Linked DNA regions of Saccharomyces cerevisiae S288C. Changing the gene in region 1 together with any one later gene gives a genetic interaction. Each region holds a gene or a part of one and is shown on either strand. Other genes may lie near its edges.

Region 1 (7,799 bases):
TCAGCCTCTTGTTCTCAGTTATCCATTGCAACCATAAAGGCGGAAGAAGATTTACTATACCAAGATTATATCAACAGCGGGAGGGAAAGCTCATCTCCGGAAATTTCTCCCTTGAATACCACAACCTCATTACCATTTTTTCCAGGTGATAATATGAGTGACAGCTCAGGAGAATATGAGGAGAGAACCTCTCTTAGCCCTAATAAAATTCACATTTTTCGTGATTATTTTTATAAGTCGCCGTCACCCTAACCATCGCCCATATTACAATAATAACAAAATCCTTGGAATGAAGAGAATAAAATTTTAATTAAAATTAATAAAATAGTTAATCATATTCTTTTGCCTTCATAGATTAGATATGAAATATTTTGCTCACATAAGTTAATATTGCTTTTGCATTTTTGTTTCTGACTTTAGTTTCTCATTAGTCGAAATGACTTTAGTTCTTTAGAAATATTTTAAATTCAGTGGGGGATTTTCGTTCTTTATTGGTGCAAATAACGATTAGTTTTTCATTTCACGATATTTAGCTGCAGTTGATAGGTGATATATCTGCTTTAACTCTTACCTTTACAGTTTGTGATGAAATGATAGGTTTAAACAGTCGTTTAAAGAGTTGTATAACAAAAGGACTCTTAACAATCGAAGTTTTTTTAACATGTTAACACCATCTTTAGTAAACGTTATATTATTGAGTATGTGAAATATACTAGAAGTTCTCCTCGAGAATATACGAATCAATAAAAGAGAAACAATATTTCTCCACAAAATCTTATAATTATTACACCTTTCGTTTTATATGTTTCATTGTCCTATTACATTATCAGTCCTTGCATTTCAGCTTCCATTATATTTGATGACTGTTTCCCAATCTTTATGCCATCTTGTTACACCGCATATGATAATAGATTCTAGTAACATGAATACTACTAATAAATGATATTTTAGAGTTTCATTTCAACAAATATACTATGTGAAACAGTAGTCAAATTTAATATGAAACCGAACATGCGAGAATTGAGGATTAATAGGATGTGAAACATATAAAATGGAAGAAAGATAATTACAAAATTTTGTGGAGAAATGTTGTTTCCATGTTATTGAGTCTTATATCCTTGAGGAGAAACTTCTAGTATATTGTGTATACATAATATTATATTGCCTTAAGCAAAATGGAATCCCAACAATTATCAAATTATTCACCAATTGATCATACACAATAGTTGATTATCATTTCAACATTATAACCTTATACAGAGAGTAATATACTAATGGATGAATACTACCAGTAGAATAAGACATAAACAAATATGATTAATGTCACTTTTTGCTTTTTTGCCGTCATTCTTTTTTATTTTTGTATAATTGGTGGTGTAACGTGGATTAAACATAAATAATAGGTTTCGTGGTCTAGTCGGTTATGGCATCTGCTTAACACGCAGAACGTCCCCAGTTCGATCCTGGGCGAAATCATTTTTTATACCTGTTATATTTCATAGAAATGTAGTAGTATTGCGAGATGAATAAAATGTCTGCTATTCAATAGTAAGGGCTTCTTTCCCCCACCTCTTTTGTTTGATTTTAAAATTATTATCAAGTAACGCGTTGTTTTCTTGTCGCGAGCCTTTTATTTACAACGAGTAAGGGTCAGGATATCTATGGAGTTTCTAGCTTGATCGTTATCACAAACTTTACTACTAAATGATAATTGTTGGTATGAACAGTATATATATATATATATATACATGTTCTGATCTTGAAAAAAAAATAAATAAAAAATGTTATTGATTGCAAGAATTTGGAAAGCAATTCATATGAGAAATTAAAATAACCAATTCCAGATTCTTTTTTTTTTTTTTCACTTTTCGAATTAAGTATCTTAAATACTGCACTTGTATATTTATATTCTTACTGTTGTAAAAAGAAAGACTAATGGCCTTTGTCAATTGCACTTTGGGTAAATTGGAAAGCAATAATATGAAAATTAAACGCATCGCGAAAATCTTGCGACCATTTAGTAAACAAAGAAAATAACCTGTCACTGACCAAAAAAAAGAAAGGTAAAGGAAGCAGCAGTAACAATATCTTTATCCTTTGATAGGTGGTAACTGACTTCGTTACTTTATGAGATGTCCGGCTTTAGCCTTTCCGAGTATCTGACCAAGTTCCAAACAACAGATCGAGAATCATATCCTCGCTTGCAGGACCCATCCAGAGAACTGAATGTTATCATAGACCAATTGGCCGTTTCACCCGAACAAATAGATGCTAGTCCAGATTCACTAGAAGCATTAATAGATCTTTGCCATGACTTCCCGCACTTAACACCGAAATTACAAACTCAACTAAGCTATTTGATAAGTTCATCTCTGTCGAATCTGTCAAAAGATATTAAGGCTAATCTCTCATCAAATGTTAACTTTACTGAAATTGGTGGCCTGATACCGCAGTGGAAAAGGCATTTAGAAGAGTATGGCTACCTTATTCAGGTACTTTTGACGTTTTTACAAGATGAGTTACATAAGGTCTCCTCGCAGTCTACCAATCTAAACCGTTCTGCCAAAAACAGTAAGAATGATAGTGCAAACGTCGAGCTGTTTAAAAGAGACTGTAATCAAATGGAAAACTTGCTTGAATCTATAACAAAGCTACTGGAGATTAACTTATCTAAGATATTTCAGACAACTCCTGAAAAGGATTTGTTTATTGGTTTGTTCACAAGACCATTATTTGTGTTATTAGAGATTGAACCTGTGACGAAGGTATCATCACTAAAGATGTTTATTCAAAGGATTTTGGCTATGTGTGTTAAAAATCACGGTCAAAGTTCAAGTATACAAAGTTCATTGATGACAAATTTAACTTATTTTCTTCATTTGTCGGTTTTTAATGCAGAATTACTAAAACTATTGAATGATGAATATAACTATCCACAACTAACAGAAGATATCTTGAAAGAAATCAGCACCAGGGTATTTAACGCAAAGGATACCACAGGCCCAAAGGCAATATCAAATTTTTTGATTAAATTATCAGAGCTATCACCAGGAATAATGCTTCGACAGATGAATCTTGTCATCACCTTACTCAACAATAGTTCTATAACATTGAGATGTTCCGTTGTAGAAGCATGTGGAAATATTGTGGCTGAATTGGCTCAAGACCCACAAACTATGGAACATTATAAACAACAAATAGCCGTACTTATTGAGTTACTAGAAGAAAGATTCCAGGATTCAAATCCCTACGTTAGAACGAAGGCGATACAAGGGTGTTCAAAGATCTGCGATTTGAGTTCGAAATTTAACAAAAGCAAAGCTAAATTTACTTCGTTGGCAGTACGATCATTGCAGGACCGCTCCTCTTTAGTTCGTAGGAACTCAGTAAAGTTACTTTCAAAATTATTGCTAAAACATCCTTTTAAGGCCATACATGGTAGCCAATTGAGGCTGAGTGAATGGGAAGAATATCTCAAAGGATCTGAATCACAGCTAAATTCCACTTTAAAGAAAGTAGAGTCACAAGAAACTCTGAATGACACGATTGAAAGGTCTTTGATTGAAGAAGAGGTAGAACAAGATGAAGGTCAATGTAGGACCGAGTTAGAAGGTTCTTTCAATAAGAGCGCAGAACTTTCTAGAATAGAAAATGAGGTAGAGAATATAAATGCAACAAATACCAGTGTTCTCATGAAGCTAAAGTTAATGATTGTTTACTATAAAGATGCCATTAGTTTCATTAAAGAGATACACAAGAGTATTGAATTGATATCTAATTTGCTGTTTTCTAAGAACAGAAACGAAGTTTTAGAATCAATGGACTTCCTAGTTTTAGCAGACGCTTTTGACATTGAGTTAAGCGAATTTGGTATAAAAAAAATGCTGCATTTGGTTTGGATGAAGGGCACAAACGATGAAGGAACGAGTATATCAGTACATTTGATAGAATGTTATAAGCAGCTATTTTTAACCGCGCCAGATAGTTGCAATATGCAGGAGAAGGCGGCACATATTGCCAAAAATTTAATTAATCTAAGCATCGGCGCATCTATTGCAGACTTGGCCTCTTTGGAACAGCTATTAGGAATGATGTATGAACAAAAATTGATTGATCAACATGTCATTAATATCCTTTGGGCTATTTACAATTCTGCATCGAAGGCCAGTATGCAGAAAGAACAAAATGTGAACAACCGTGACTCCGAAAAAGGGTTTTCTAAGGAACAAATTCATGGTTCTATTATTATTTTAGGAATGTTATCGTTAGCCGATAACGAAATAGCATTAAAAGGACTGGAGTCACTTTTAAACATTGGACTTGGTGCCGTTGGTTTAAAAGATCTGACCCTTTGTCGGTATTCTTGTTTAGCGTTAGAGAGAATGGTTCCCAAGAGAAGCACTATTATTACCAAGGCAATAAATCAAGAGCTTGAAGATGTTGCAGTGAAAAAGTTGTATGCCATAATTATCAACTATACCAAGGATAATGAATATTATCCTATGTGCGAACAAGCGCTTAGTGCACTGTTTACAATCTCTTCTAAGCCCGATATACTAGCTACAGATCTGATTAGAGAAAAGACAATGATGACATTTGGTAAACCTGAAGAGGAAGACTCTATTTTGTCGTTAGAACAATCATCTAGAGTTGTTTCTCTCAGTCAATTATTATTCATTGTAGGACAAGTGGCAATTAAAACACTTGTCTATCTAGAGAAATGTGAGGCAGAATTCAAGAAAAGAAAGATCGAGGCAGAAACTCGGAACGGTAAAGTAAAAAACCAAGGTGCAGATGTAACTAACACCACACAAGATAACGGTGGTGATAAAGAGCTAGAAATGATAGGAGGTACTAATGAGGACGATTTCACGGATGCTATTCAATTTGTAAAAGAGAATGAATTACTATTTGGAGAAAAATCTATATTAGGGAAGTTTTGCCCAATTGTAGAAGAGATTGTTTCTAATTCAAGCAGGTTTAGCGATCCAATGCTTCAAAGAACGGCAACCTTATGTCTAGAAAAACTAATGTGTTTATCATCAAAATATTGTGAAAAGAGCCTGCCGCTATTAATCACAGTAATGGAAAAATCTCCTGATCCTACTATTCGCTCAAATGCTGTCTTAGGACTAGGTGACATGGCAGTATGCTTCAACAACTTAGTAGACGAAAACACAGATTATTTGTATCGCCGTTTGCATGATGAAAACTTAATGGTACAAAGAACATGTTTAATGACAGTTACCTTCTTGATTTTAGCTGGACAGGTTAAGGTTAAAGGACAATTAGGAGAAATGGCCAAATGCCTAGACAATCCAGACCAGGGAATAAGTGATATGTGCAGATTATTTTTCACCGAGTTAGCATCCAAGGACAACGCCATTTATAATGGATTCATCGATATCTTTAGTAATTTATCGTCAGATGATTTATTGGGTAAGGAGAGTTTCAAGAAAATCATCAAATTTCTGTTAACTTTTATCGATAAGGAACGGCACCAAAAGCAATTAAACGAGAAATTAGTTGGAAGACTGAGAAAGTGCGAGACCCAAAAGCAATGGGATGATATTGCATTCGTACTAAACAATCTACCATACAAAAATGAAGACGTCACTGCATTATTGGAGCAAGGTTTCAAGGTTGTATCCGCAAAAGAATAATCGAACTGACGTTTACCCGTTTCTTCCGTTTTATATTATATGTTATTATATAAATAAAAGCTGTTCATTTCTTTCTTCTTGAAATATGACTTTACCTATCTCGATAAAATTCATTTGTGGTCGTCTTCATTCACTCCTGGGCAATGCTCGTAGAGATCACCTTCATCCTTATACTTGATTCCGCAAAAAAAACAGTAGTACTTCTCGGACCTCAGGAATATATTCAATTTTGTTATTCTTTTTTCAATGCTCAATTCTTCTAATTCAGCAAGTTCTGTGTCTTTTGTAATGCGACTACCGATAATTGAAGTATCACAATCTATTAATGTAGAAGGACGTCCAAACTTTTCACCTTTTATTGCAGGCGAAGCCTCCAAACTTTCATTTACCATTGGTATCATATTATTCTTATCTTCATTATCATTGTTACTGTGATTATTTAGGTCATTTTTTGCTACTTCCTCATTTAGTTGCATAACGTAAGATCTCCAAAGTACGTTAAAGTCTCTCGGATCTTCGCCTGGATTGTATAAATCGGAATCACCCATCATTTCAAAAGCAACTTTTTGGATCCTATACCAAATTTTTTTTAACCGCTTATTATTTTTCATTTCACTTTCTCTTTTTATAAATCGTTGTTCACTCATCTGCATGTCATTCATTGTTGATGGGTCGGGCTTTTCTGCACGAATTCCCCTCCTTTTTGTATTGATTTCTACCTTAATAGGCTCTTTTAGGGCACTTTCATTACTACCTAATGTTTCTCCTTCTTTGTAACCCATGTTTTCCATCATTTTATAACCCCTGGGCATGATTGAACGTAGTGATGTGCGTGCAGTTTCGTCATTTGTTGAATCTCTTTTTGACTTCTTCTGAGGCGGTGTATTCTTCAAATCTATGCGATCCTCTTTTCTTTTTGTCTTACTCTCCTCCATTTTATGCCCTCCCTGAAAGTGATGGTAGATGTGTAGCGTACCTCTTATTGTCCGTCCTCTTATTCTGTAATTCTTAAATTAAATTCAATCCAGTAAATATTACAATTGAATTGATACCTAATTTTTTCTATTGACTATATTTCAGAGTCAACGTGATCGTTCTAACTTTCATTATCGATTATAGATATTATTCTCAGCAGTGGAAATCTTTTTATCTCAACTCGTCACCACACAAAAAAATGGAGACAGGATCCGGAAGACTCAGGAGGATAGAGCAACGTTATTGAACAGTGTTTTTAATTGTTTCATTCTTAGTCTTTAATTTATTTACTTTAAACCGACGGTTATATAGTACGTATTCTATTATTTTTTAATCACAAAATCTCAAATAGGCATGCCTTATGTTGTTGTGAAACTAAGGTATATAAAACAAACAACTTTCAAAAAAAGAAAATGAGAGTAGGAAAAAGGTGGATGATGTGAGAATTTTAACAACCTTTATTTAAAACCGTTCACAATCTTGGGTATTTTTGGGATACCATCTCTTTCCAATTGTTTAGTGAGTTCTTCTTCCAGACCCCTTTTCCACAAATCATGATTTTCACCAATAGCGTAGGTGATTGTCTTGTTCATGTAGCCTTCTGGTCCTAGATAATTTAACATTTCAATGATGTCTTCCAACAAGATGGCCTTGCCCGCGGCAATACTATTACCTAAACCGGGATGCTTTATGTTAACGATGTGAATGTGGAAATGATAATAAGAAGGTTGGTAGTGAACCAAAATTCTCAACTCATCCGGATGGACAGCATAGTTGTAACAACCAGGAACAATGGATCTAATCTTGTTGTTCAAGTTGATTAACCACTGTCTGTCAGAATATCTTAAATCCCTTATTGTCTTGATATCGGTCCTGTAGACGATCGCAACTAGATATAAAGAGTCTAAGTTCATGCCATCCCATTTCATATCAGGTAAAATTAGGAAGCCGTCGTCCTTATTCTCCTCAGAAAAATCTTTATAAACGACCCTTTCTGACTCAGCGCCTTCATAAAGAATGTTGTTTACCCATTTAAGTCTACCGTTATTACACATTTCTTCGATGTAAGGCTGAACAATTCTCTTGTACATCTCAGGAGTCTCTCTGACTAAATGAAAGTTTTGTTGTTCATATTTCTTGATATGAATTGGAGTAGCAGGC
Region 2 (4,714 bases), on another chromosome or scaffold:
GAAAGTGGCCATCCATTCCACTTTCTGTTTTCTTTCTATTGAGTGGTCAGTTAATGTGCTACTTCGCTGAAAACTTCCTTGTTTTAGCATGTGGCATTCTCAGTGTACATAATGATTTATAGCTCAAAGGCTTTTAATGTTTAGGTAGTTACAGACCTTTTGCCGCCGTGAATTTTTGACGTCTTGTAGTGCTGTGATATAATTGGACTATAAATCATTACCCGGCCTTTTAAGGCATGAGTGGCGTTCCAACGTGCTGTCAAAACTATGAGACCAAAAACCAAAACACACCCCTAAGAAATGTATAGGGATTTATATCAGCATAAAGGTGCCATAATTAAAGAGATTTAGCCTGAACCCATTACTATTCTGTTACAGTTAAGTACTCATACAGACAGCTAGAAAAAGAAGAAGAAATACCAAGTACAAAGAAAGGAAACCATGTCCAAGTTAGAAACCGTTTACTTATACGCTGGTGAAGAACAACCACGTGTTAAATTGACCTGTATTAAGGAAGGTCTCACTTTAACTCAGGTTATCAAGTTCGTGCATTCTATTCAAGAATTGTACGGGATTGAGTTGCAAACTTCTGAGACCATAACAGAAAATTTGAAGATAGATTGTGCACCCGCATATTTGAAGCCGAATTGTATTCCCCATTTCTACATTCTCGAATATGAAGAAATAAGTGACACCTTTTTCATTTGGAAATCTGATGGTCGTTGGCAATTAAATAAGTTGTCTGCCTTGTTGTACGTGGATAACGACGCTAACGTGGTTAAGAACACTTCCTGGAAGGAGGTTTTCCAGAATGATCAACGATTTAAAAATTATGATAAACGGGCCTGGTTACAAAATTGTCTAGAAAAAATGAATAGAGATCTCTCAAAACTAAACGTTGAACAATTTTGGTCTCAATATGATAAAATATGTCAAAGCATTGCCAAACAAAAGAAAAAACAGGAACAGTTCAACATGGAGGTTTTCGATAACTTCAAAAATATTGTTTCTATTGCTATCATAAAGACCAAAGTTTTATCGAATAAGCGACTTTTGACAACAACTTTAAAAAATTATCATAACTCGATGAAGAAAAAGTATAACATCCAGGAACAAAATCTTAAGGAAAATAGTTTGGCATCGTGCTCAAACAATGAGCCTTCCGCATCTCTGGAAAGCGAATCAAGACATTTTTCTCCGGTAAATTCGCTGTCTCCTTCATCTTTGAGTACCGATGATGAGGCTGTCTCGACAGACTACATCTATAAAGGTCCTGAGTCTAAACCAAACGTGAATTTCATGCATTCAAGTGCTACAAACGATCTGATCAAGTCAAATTTTGAAAGCTATTTTAAATTGATGGCCGAAGACTATGAAACTTTTGACTTGAGAGCCTGGTCGAGACAAAGACCTCGAAAATTTCAGCTTGTGGAAAAAAAAAAAATCACTAAAAACCCTCCTAATAGCCATCATCCGCATAAAAATGGCAAAATATCATTTTAACTATTTCCGGGAAAACATGTCTTTTTATAGCATCTACATCCATTAAATCAAGAGAATAAAAGTAAAACTCCAAAAGTATGTACGTATATAGAACCAATTATTCAATCATTTATAGAAATGTGACCTGTTTTTTCTCTACTATTGTTACATAGGCATCACGAAAAAAAGTCGCATTATACGATACTGTTATATAATTTTTTTCATATTCTTCAGATCTCAAATGCAAGATGGTCCTAATTTGTTTGTTTGTTTATTTATTAGTTTCGCTGAAGAAGGAAAACAAGTCATTTTTGGTTAGCTACCCAATTATACAAGCATTCAATAAATACGCCAATCTTTTGCCACATTTCTTATAATATCCTTTGCCCTCCTTGGTGTTTGGTTCAAATAAGTAAATGATAAAAATGTGGAGGTTACAGATTGTACTGGTGCCGCCAAGTGCTCAAGATATTATCACATTTCTCGAAGCACGCTTGAATACTCCACAATCAGTGTCTCCTATGGTCCAGTATAATGAAGATATAATTACGCACAACAACAGTATCAATAACTGTAGCGACCCCTCTCCTACGAGCCCGTCTTCGCAAAATTCTATTCAGTCGAATCGTAGTAGTGATTTCATTAACTACCTCCCGAATTGTAAAAAGTTTTTACATTTTACGGACGGTGACAATACCCTTTTACAACTATCTAATGAAATTTTAACTAAATTTGATAGACTTTATCCAAATTTCAAAGAATCCATTGAAATCGTATCTCTACAAGATAGGCATGGTTGTGATTTGGACTCTGAATTTATAATAAAAGACGTATTTGAAAATGATGGTGTGGTTTTGGTAATTTTAAAAGATGAATTAGACTGGAGTAGAAATCAACATATTTCACTTTTACAATTGGCAAGACAGCGGAGACGGCAGGACAACAAGCCATCCACAAAATCCATCGTTACTGAAAAGAGAAAAAAGATCTCTAAGGAAGACTTATCTTCTATATCAAATAAAGATACAATGCATCTAATAGCTAAAAGCTCGCTCAAGAATAACTTCATTAATAAATCAAGAGTATCAACGCCGCTAATGAACGAAATTCTACCGCTTGCAAGCAAGTATGATGCACTGAATAAAGAAAAGTGTCCCATGCCACTTACTTCCACAGTAGTGGCATCAAATGTACACAAAGACGTAAAAGATCACGCTCGTGCTAAAGAGGGAGTTGTAACGCAAGGGAGTGATAACAATAAAGAAAATATACCTTCATCCACTCAACAACAGAAAAATGATGGCGCTAAAAGGGCCGAATCAAAGGATTTAGATCTTTTACGCAATTCGTCAGAAGATGCTGATTATGAACCCGCAGATGAAAACTCCCCTCAAATTTCGTTTGATTCGATTGATACCGACTTCCAATTGAGCACTACTTCTCATACTAATTCTGATATGCATATACAATATTCTAACCCCTCTAGTGGTGCTCATAGTCCCAGGAAGAGTTCCTTAGAAATTAAAGTTCAAAACAAAAAAGGTGATGATCTGCCATTGAACGACAAAGATATAGGTGAGAATTGTAGAAGGATAGAAGCATTTTCAGATGAAGAGGATTTTAATGAAACCGATAATGATCGTGCGGATTCGTTTATCAACAATTCTAAGAAGGCATCGATGGGATTTCGGGATATCAATTCCGACTTGGATAGCGTTTCATTCAACAGTGATATTGAAAATGCAGTACAAAGTACTCAAAGTACCAAAAATGTTGTTTCTCCTCCCTTTTTTCCTGAAAAAGAATTGAATAATCGGTTACATCAAAGTCAAGGTAAGGAAGCCCTATTTCGACTTGTTGAGAAGGAGTTTCCTGATAAATCATTGGGTGCTGCGTCATCTACTTCGCATGCAAAAGACGTAAAAATACAAGAAACTATTCGGAAACTAAATAGGTTCAAGCCAACTGGGGAAACTAAGGTCCAAAAAAGGAATAGTATTACGGAACCATATTACGGAAAATTTGGAATAATGAAGAAAGATAAACCCAAATCCATAACTTCAAAAGGGGTAAGTCTGGAAACAAAGCACTTTGATGATCCCAATACCATTATTTCCGGTGAGAAATTCGCAAAATTTGGTAAAATAAAAGTGAAACGAAAAACTGATGATGTTGGATCGAAAGTTATAGAGTTTAAAAGAAAAAGAAATATGGGGAATAGATCCCTAAAAGATATTTTTGCCAATGCTGGGAAACCGCCAAATGCAGCTTCGACCATAAAAGTAGTCAAATTAATGAGAGATCCTGTTGATAATAGTAAAGACAAAGTGGAGGCAACTTCTAATAGTACGGCTCAGGAACAAGAACAAGTCTCACCCAAGTTGCCAGTTATGAATTCAACTCCTGGAAAAAGAAAAAATGGCCAAGCGATACCGTCCAGTTTAGAAAGAACACCGCAGCTCAAGAAAGTCAAGGTTACCAGGTCGCATTCTTCACCTTCTTCTTCTTCTTCCATGTCACTTGAATCTTCATTGGATAGCTCTTCCTCAGATGATTCGGATGATGATTCTGATTCGAGGAACGTGCAAGTTAAAAAAATTAATTTCAAAACAAGTCATGGACCAGCTGGAAATTCTAATGGAAAACCAATGCTGGATGTGGATGACAATGAAATAAATACAAAGAAGTACCAAACACCTAAATATGTTGAAAGTGATGAAGACGACCAGTAAGTCTGTCAGTAATTATGTTGGGATCTCTCAACCATATCTTAAATATTCTTGGCGAATTGTAGTAATTTTTTAGACTGGTTAATGATATCATAATTAAATCTTCAAAAGCAACCAACAAAAGAGAACTAATAGCGTACGGTATGCATCAATTATATATGATTATAACGGACTTTTATTCATGGACGTTTATATCATTCTGGATTATTCGTCATTATTGTTCATTGTTGAACACAATATAAAAAAATATAAAATATGGTTGCTAAGAGATTCGAACTCTTGCATCTTACGATACCTGAGTATTCCCACAGTTAACTGCGGTCAAGATATTTCTTGAATCAGGCGCCTTAGACCGCTCGGCCAAACAACCACTTATTTGTTGAAAATTTTAGAATTCAAGTATACCCAGTCATGTATTAAGTTAATCTTTATGTCATCTTTCTAAACTTTATATGTGTTGGAATAAAAATCCACTATCGTCTATCAACTAATAGTTATATTAT

What was found.
Region 2: mutations in YCS4 (region 1) and TOF2 together harm fitness more than expected from each alone (negative genetic interaction), as found in Saccharomyces cerevisiae (3 studies listed by BioGRID, with this or other methods).

The regions. Positions count from the first base shown.
Region 1 is NC_001144.5:681,536-689,334, reverse strand, and holds YCS4 (condensin subunit YCS4), read left to right. Parts: upstream 1-2,132; coding exon 2,133-5,663; downstream 5,664-7,799. Other genes in the region: protein phosphatase regulator PIG1, read left to right, coding at 1-252; CMG1 (Cmg1p), read right to left, coding at 5,774-6,598; DCS1 (5'-(N(7)-methyl 5'-triphosphoguanosine)-(mRNA) diphosphatase), read right to left, coding at 7,097-7,799. UniProt on the Saccharomyces cerevisiae protein: Regulatory subunit of the condensin complex, a complex required for conversion of interphase chromatin into mitotic-like condense chromosomes.
Region 2 is NC_001143.9:458,424-463,137, reverse strand, and holds TOF2 (Tof2p), read left to right. Parts: upstream 1-1,898; coding exon 1,899-4,214; downstream 4,215-4,714. Other genes in the region: chromatin-associated RNAPIII regulator FPT1, read left to right, coding at 442-1,503.